Pelodiscus sinensis: one gene and its partner. The protein of the gene in region 1 purifies or fractionates together with the protein of each later gene. This does not show direct contact. Links are inferred from orthologs where the notes say so. Each region holds a gene or a part of one and is shown in the gene's direction. Other genes may lie near its edges.

Region 1 (3,745 bases):
GGGAGGGGTATGTGGGGGCAGGAGGGGGTGGGTCATTGCGGGGGGGGTGGGGCGGGGTATGTGAGGGGCAGGAGGGGGTGGGTCATTGCGGAGGGGTGGGGCGGGGTATGTGAGGGGCAGGAGGGTGGGTCATTGCGGGGGGGGTGGGGAGGGGTATGTGAGGGGCAGGAGGGGGTGGGTCATTGCGGAGGGGTGGAGCGGGGGTATGTGAGGGGCAGGAGGGGGTGGGTCATTGAGGGGGGGTGGGGCGGGGTATGTGAGGGGCAGGAGGGAGTGGGTCATTGTGGGGGGGGTGGGGCGGGGTATGTGAGGGGCAGGAGGGAGTGGTCATTGCGGGGGGGGGTGGGGAGGGGCATGTGAGGGGCAGGAGGGGGTGGGTCATTGCGGAGGGGTGGAGCGGGGTATGTGAGGGGCAGGAGGGGGTGGGTCATTGCGGAGGGGTGGAGCGGGGTATGTGAGGGGCAGGAGGGGGTGGGTCATTGCTGGGGGGTGGGGCGGGGTATGTGAGGGGCAGGAGGGGGTGGGTCATTGCGGGGGGGTGGGGCGGGGTATGTGAGGGGCAGGAGGGGGTGGGTCATTGCGGGGGGGTGGGGCGGGGTATGTGAGGGGCAGGAGGGGGTGGGTCATTGCGGGGGGGTGGGGCGGGGTATGTGAGGGGCAGGAGGGGGTGGGTCATTGCGGGGAGGGGCGGGGTATGTGAGGGGCAGGAGGGGGTGGGTCATTGCGGGGAGGGGGCGGGGTATGTGAGAGGCAGGAGGGGGTGGGTCATTGCAGCACTGTCCCCCACTGCAAGCTTGGCCAGTTCTGGCTCTGCTGTTCCTTTTGGTAGCTGGCTCACGTTCCCCAAGGAAATGTGCCCCAAATGAAAAAAGGTAGTGGTGCCAACTGCAAGGAGCCAGAAGCCCTGAAATCCTGACGATTGTCCAGGGTTTGAGCAGTCCTGAGGCAGAAAAGCATCTGCAAGATCCAGCCCCCTTCCCTCCCACTCTGTTTGGCTTTGGGCTTGCACCTTTCCCTGAGGTTTTGTCCACTTCAGTGCATCTGCTGGAGAACTTGGCTTACTCTGCACTTGGCCCATTTCAGTTTCTCTGTGTGGCTTTGCCCAGCGGCTAGAAAAACAGGCCAAAGAAAAGCTTTGCCCAGTGGCGGGTTGGGCGGTCAGTCCATCCTTGCTGCTGTTCCTCAGGTGTTGAGCACACCAGGCTGGCTCTGACCTATCTGGGGCTTCTGAGGGCCAATGAAGTTTGTCGTTTTTGAAAAATCTGGCAACTGGATTCATCATGAAAGGGTCAGGACCAGTGTTCCCTCCAATGTTTTATGTCTGTGTGTGGAATTACTTTTGTTATATGCACCATATGGAGGAGACAATTATGGCACACACTCACAGGTCACGCCCACACTTGGCCCATACCGTCCCTGGGCAGAACCCACTCCAGTGTGACAGCCCTTTATCTGCAAGTCCTCTCTCTCCCTGGGGTCTGCCCCTCTGTCTCCTGGGACAGTGATTCTAGAGGCCTTCAGCAGACCTGTCTCTGCTGTAGGCCCCCAGGGCCTCCACTCCCAAAGGGAATAGTTCAGCCCTGTTCTCCAGACCAAAGCAACTCTCAGTGTAAAACAGGAGGGTTTATTGAACACAACAAAGGGACCCTCAGGCCTGTAGGCCTGGCCCCTCTCAGCCCAGCATGTCTGAGTCTCCCCTGCAGCTGAGTGGGCTCTGCCTAAACTCTCCCTTTCCAGTTCAGAAGCTCCCTTCTTCCAGCTGAGTCCCCTCCGCAGCCTTTGTCTTCAGTCCAGAAAAATAGGGTTGCCTGGGCCCCTCTGCTCTCTTCTCCATTCTTTATTCTCTCTCCCCCCAGCTCCCCACTCCCCACCCCGCTGGAACAAGCTGAGCAGGTCACCCAGGTCTTGTTTCTGCAACCCATTATCCTCCCACTGGCCAGACCTGGCTCTGCCCTCCGAGCTGGGCCTGCCAGTCACTGGGGTCTCCTGTACTGTCCCCTGTAACAACAAACTCCCTCTTCTCCCCTTGTTAAACCAGTAACACCCAGGGACGCTGAGTGCCTCCTCTGTGCGTGCAACCTCTTTGCACTTCCCCACTCAGTCACACAAGTCATTCTACACAGGGACAGTGTGTGGCAGTGATAAGGCTGAGGAGGTGTAATTGGGGGCTTTGGGCTGGGGCAGGTAGTTGGGGTACAGGAGGGGGTGAAGTCTCCAGCGAGGATGTGGGCTCTGGAGTGGGCTTGGGAATGAGGAATTTGGGGAGGGGCTGAGGCCTGGGCTTGGAGTGCAGGAGAGGGTACAGGCTCCGGTCTGGGGGTGGGGCCAGGAATGAGAGATTTGGGGTCCAGGTGGTAGTCTGGGTTGGGAGGGGTCAGGTGGGGGGCTGGGGCTTGGGCTTACCTGGGTGGTTCCTGGCCTGTGGTGCTAAGGCAGGCCTGGTGCATGCCTCTTGGGGCACCCCTCTGGGCCCCAGAAGCAGCCAGCATGTCCAGCTCCAGGGGATGGGAGGGGCATGAGGCTCCACTGTGCACCATGTGCACTGCTCTCACCCCTGTGCACCACAAGAACCAGCCAGTGGGAATGCGCAGCTGGTGTAGAGCCTCCCCCCGGGACCTGCTACTTACTGCTTCCCTGCCAGCCCAGCACAGAACTGCCCTGGCTGCAGCAGCTCTGGGCTGGGGCTGCGGGAGGGTCACCTCTCCCCCGACTGTGGCAGCTTCGGGGCTGGGGAGAGGCATCTCTCTCCACTGCAGCCCTGAGCCCCCTGGTGGGGCTTAACAGGAGGTTGTGGAGCTTAGAGGGAGGTTAGATCAGGAGACCAGGGTTTTATTGCCCCCTCCTTGCCCCCTGAGCCAAGATAGTACCCAGGAGTCCTGACTCCCAGTTTCCCCCAGCTATAACCCATCAGCCGCCCACCCTGCTCTCCATGCCTGTGTCTCTGTAGCTCGCTCTCTGATGCCCGACCTTTCTCCACAGGGTTCCTGGCTCCTGTCACCATGCTGCCTACGAAGGTGGAAACCGAGAAGCAGGGTGGGTTCTATACCCCTGTGGGTCTGCCTGGAGAACACTGGTGATACCAGATGGCAGGGCGGGCACCCCCCAGCCATCTATGCTGAGATTCCAGCTTCCCCCCCAGCCACGCCCTGAAAGACAATCCCACCCCACAGCTACACTATGCCCAGTGGCTGATTCATTCTAAGACAGCCACAGAGCCTGTGCCTTGTAGGGCAGGGTGATCATGTGGGTGGTGTTGGGGGTTGGGTGCTGGTCCAGTCACGGTCTGTCCCCACTTACCCTGTAACCCGGGTATCTTTGCTCCCCATGCAGCCTGGGATGTCCATAGCTAGCCTACAGGTCACACCGCGAGTGTGTGCTAGGCAGCCCTGGCTCAGCAGCCTGTCTGCAGCCCCACCAGCAAGCTGACCCCAATGCATTCCCCATCCCTATTTCCCCCGGAGACTTCTCTGCCACATTGTTACCAGATTTGCCCAATACTTTGGGGTATGCTCATTTATCAGGGTTACCCTTATGGGACTGGGGGAAAGTTGACAGTTCTATCAGTGTGCTCTTGGTGCTTACTTGGGCTCTCATATGAAGCTGAATTCTCCCTGCTGCCAATTCCCCCTCCCACTGGAGCTCTCCTGCAGGAACTAGGTTCCTCAGGATGGGGTTCTTCCCACCTTAGCAACACACACAGACACTCACACCCACTAACAGAGCACGTCTGAGAGGACTGGGTACT
Region 2 (3,745 bases), on another chromosome or scaffold:
GACCTACATCGGATCCCTACTTACAAACGGGGTGAGGCAACCCCGCACTAGCTGCTTCCTCCCAGCAAACCAGGGAGACGCGAAGCTAGTGCCACCCCTCCCCAGCAGACCAGGGAGACGCGGAGCTAGCGCCCCTCCCCCCCAGCAGACCAGGGAGACGCGGAGCTAGCGCCCCTCCCCCCCAGCAGACCAGGGAGACGCGAAGCTAGCGCCCCCCCCCCAGCAGACAAGGGAGACGCGGAGCTAGCACCCCCCCCCAGCAGACCAGGGAGACGCGGAGCTAGCGCCCCCCCCCCAGCAGACCAGGGAGACGCGGAGCTAGCGCCCCCCCCCAGCAGACCAGGGAGACGCGGAGCTAGCGCCCCCCCCCCCCCAGCAGACCAGGGAGACGCGAAGCTAGCGCCCCCCCCCCCCCCAGCAGACCAGGGAGACGCGAAGCTAGCGCCCCCCCCCCCAGCAGACCAGGGAGACGCGAAGCTAGCGCCCCCCCCCCAGCAGACCAGGGAGACGCGAAGCTAGCGCCCCCCCAGCAGACCAGGGAGACGCGGAGCTAGCGCCCCCCCCCCCAGCAGACCAGGGAGACGCGGAGCTAGCGCCCCCCCCCAGCAGACCAGGGAGACGCGGAGCTAGCGCCCCCCCCCCAGCAGACCAGGGAGACGCGGAGCTAGCGCCCCCCCCCCAGCAGACCAGGGAGACGCGGAGCTAGCGCCCCCCCCCAGCAGACCAGGGAGACGCGGAGCTAGCGCCCCCCCCCAGCAGACCAGGGAGACGCGGAGCTAGCGCCCCCCCCCCAGCAGACCAGGGAGACGCGGAGCTAGCGCCCCCCCCCCCAGCAGACCAGGGAGACGCGGAGCTAGCGCCCCCCCCCCAGCAGACCAGGGAGACGCGGAGCTAGCGCCCCCCCCCAGCAGACCAGGGAGACGCGGAGCGGCTTTTCTCAGCAGACACCTCAGCTTGAGAATAAAGGACTGAGGGAAGTGAGGTGTGGGAGAATAAAACTGAGCGCTGGAGAAATGTTTGGCTAGCGTTTCCCCTACAACATGTACAGTTCCGACTTGCATACAAATTCAACTTAAGAACAACCCCCCAGTCCCTATCTTGTATGTAACCCGGGGACTACCTGTACTACAATCAGGAGGATTAGCGGGGCCAGTGACATCCGCGGGTCCGCTCGGCTCTCCCCTCTTTTGTCCTCGCCAGGCTCCCGTACCCACCGGCTGTTTTCCTTCCTGCCTGAAGAGGGATCCTCAGCCCCGCCGCCGGGCTGGCTCCCCGGGCGCCATGTCCCTCCCGTGTCCCGCTCTGGGCGCGCCGCGGCGGAGCGCGCCGCCCGGCCTAGGCGGAGCGCGGCCTGCAGGATGCTGAGCGGGGCATGGCGGCGGGCCTGCCGCGCCCCGCCGCCCGGGGGCCGTTGCTGAGGTAACCGCACGTGTTCGCCCCCCCCCTCCCGGCGAGGCTCCCCGGGGCCGCCGCGTCTCCCGGGGAGGGGCCGAGCGGGCCTGACTCAGCCCGGGGGGTTAAGTAACTTCTCCCCTCCCCGGCCACTCGGCGAGCCGGGCCCTGCTCCCCCCCAGGCGGGCTGCTCCCGGCCGGCGCGGGCGGACACGGGACAAGGGGGGTTCCCTCTGCTCTCGCCCACCCACCTGCCGCCGCGCCTGCTCGCCCGGGCCCGAGCGCTGCTGAGCCTGCGCCCAGCAGGCGATTGGCAGCAGCTCCCTTCGCGGGGAGGGGGAGAGGCTGGTCTCGGTCCCGGACCCGAGCGCCCCCCTCTAAGTGGGGAGGGGCTCCCGGAGGGAAAGGCGCTTGTGAGCAGCCCTCTTGCTTCTTTGTGCGCCCCCCCCCCCCCCCAGGGACCAGTCCCGTGGGGGGATGCTCACTCAGGGGCGTGACCCGCGATGAAGCGGGGCAGAGATGCCGGGATGAGACTGTGAATGGCTCTTCCCGCAGAAAAACCTTAAGTTCTGCCTTAAAGTCAACCCCGGAGAAATCGCTCCAGCACGACAGAAGTGGTAGGGCAGCTTGTGGGGTACCGCTGTCACTTAGTGCTACAGAGCAGTCAGCGGGAGAGGGGACTTCCTCCCCAAACGCAGCCATGAGACTGCCAGCCCGGCCCCACCCCGCAGGAGATATTTGAACTCAGGAGCCAGAAGGGTTTCACATATTGGGATAGAAAACTCTTACTTGCTCCCCACAGTCTAACTTCCACATTCAGAATGGTGAAGTTATTCCCTCTCCTGACTCTGATCAGCATAACCCTGGTTCCAGGCCAGGTGTTTGCAGGTTGTGCATTTAGATCTGCCCTTTCAGTGGCCAGAGAGCACTTTACTTCCTGTCCTAATGGGGGATGGTAATGATATTAGCTAGCCACAGCCTAGAGCTAACAGACAGCAGCTGGTAGCTTTTGGGGTCTCAGTTGCAATTAATTGAGACGTATGTTTTTCCCTTCATAGGGGAAAAACATGACTTCACCAGTCTATTAACTGGGTTAGAGTAGTTTTAGACTACCCCCCCTATTGTCTGTAAGTTAGGGGCTTTGAAGAGTTATTAATTTATCTGAGAAGATTGACATCAGTGGTGGTGTAACAGATTGAAGAATGTGGAAGTTAGTTTAACATGTAGGCCAAATCCAAAAGGTACATAAAGCCCAGTTTTGATACTACAGTAACCAGAAATTTCCTGGTTACTGTAGTAGGTACCTAAACACAGAGCACTAGGGCTGTAAAATCCCAGTCAACCACGATCACAGTCACTCACCTCTGCTGAGCTAAGTCCCTCCTTCTCCCCCTCCCCCATGGGGGGGGAGAGAAGGAAGTGGTGGTGGAAGCAGGAGGCAGAAGCCAAGCCCAGCATGAAGAATGGTGCTGGCTCCTGCTCCCGCAAGCACCCCCCATGGTAGAGTGGGGAGGGGGGGTAAGATGGGCTGCTCCCAGGCATGGGTTAACCATTCTCATCTCTACTCAGCACCTACATACAAGTTAACTAAACCTTTGAGCAGATGAAAGCCACTGACCTAAAGGAATGTGGCAGTGCAATCTTACTAGACTTTTGCACCCCCTTCAGGAATCTGATGTATTGGTACACTCAAGTCTCAGCTCATTTAAACTACTTGCTTACAAAAGGAAAAAAAGTCCCAGAACACTTACTGAAAAGTTGCTTATTTTCTCATTTTTAGCCATGTAATTCTAAATCTACTAGAAGATTTACCTGGTGTTGCTCAGGTCCTTGACTCCATTTTTATTTTTCCTTCATTTAAATCATTGCCCTGGAATGGGGCTGGGCTGAGAGGTCCAGGATGCAGGCTGCTTTGGGGAAGAGAAGACAACCCCAGCCCTCCCTCACTGCAGCAGCTTGGGACCAGGTGAGAAGTGCCTGACCATGACCACTGCAGTGGGCACAGCCAGGGGAGGCGCGCATGTCCTCTGGCTAGAGGACAGACACAGACTCTGAAATATATAGTAGATAGCTATCTACCTCTGCCACCTTCTGGCTCAATGGGGTTAAAGCTATCCTGGTCCCTATCTCTGACCTCTCTCTGCCGTCATTCTGCAGTATAACTGGCCTTCCTACCCGAGTTCTCCCTTTCTATTCTATGAGAAAGTCCAGGCACATCCCATTATCCTAGCACAATGAAACCCCAAACCAGGTGATAAGACGAAGCTGCATACCAAACTTGGTGGTCTTAGCTCTTTCCATTTGTTCAAGAACTTCTCTTAATGGTCTCAGATTTCTAAAATATCTAGTAAGA

What was found. The genes of interacting proteins can lie anywhere in the genome.
Region 2: the proteins of LIN37 (region 1) and MYBL2 purify together in Homo sapiens (affinity purification with mass spectrometry; 6 studies listed by BioGRID and IntAct, counting the BioPlex papers as one, with this or other methods). This does not show direct contact. The link is inferred for Pelodiscus sinensis from reciprocal best matches to the Homo sapiens genes LIN37 and MYBL2.

Annotation. Positions count from the first base shown.
Region 1 is NC_134734.1:5,194,729-5,198,473, forward strand, and holds the start of LIN37 (protein lin-37 homolog), read left to right. Parts: upstream 1-847; 5' UTR 848-862; coding exon 863-872; intron 873-2,979; coding exon 2,980-3,033; intron 3,034-3,745.
Region 2 is NC_134728.1:29,651,640-29,655,384, reverse strand, and holds the start of MYBL2 (myb-related protein B), read left to right. Parts: upstream 1-1,220; 5' UTR 1,221-1,372; coding exon 1,373-1,419; intron 1,420-3,172; coding exon 3,173-3,358; intron 3,359-3,745. UniProt on the Homo sapiens protein: Transcription factor involved in the regulation of cell survival, proliferation, and differentiation. Transactivates the expression of the CLU gene.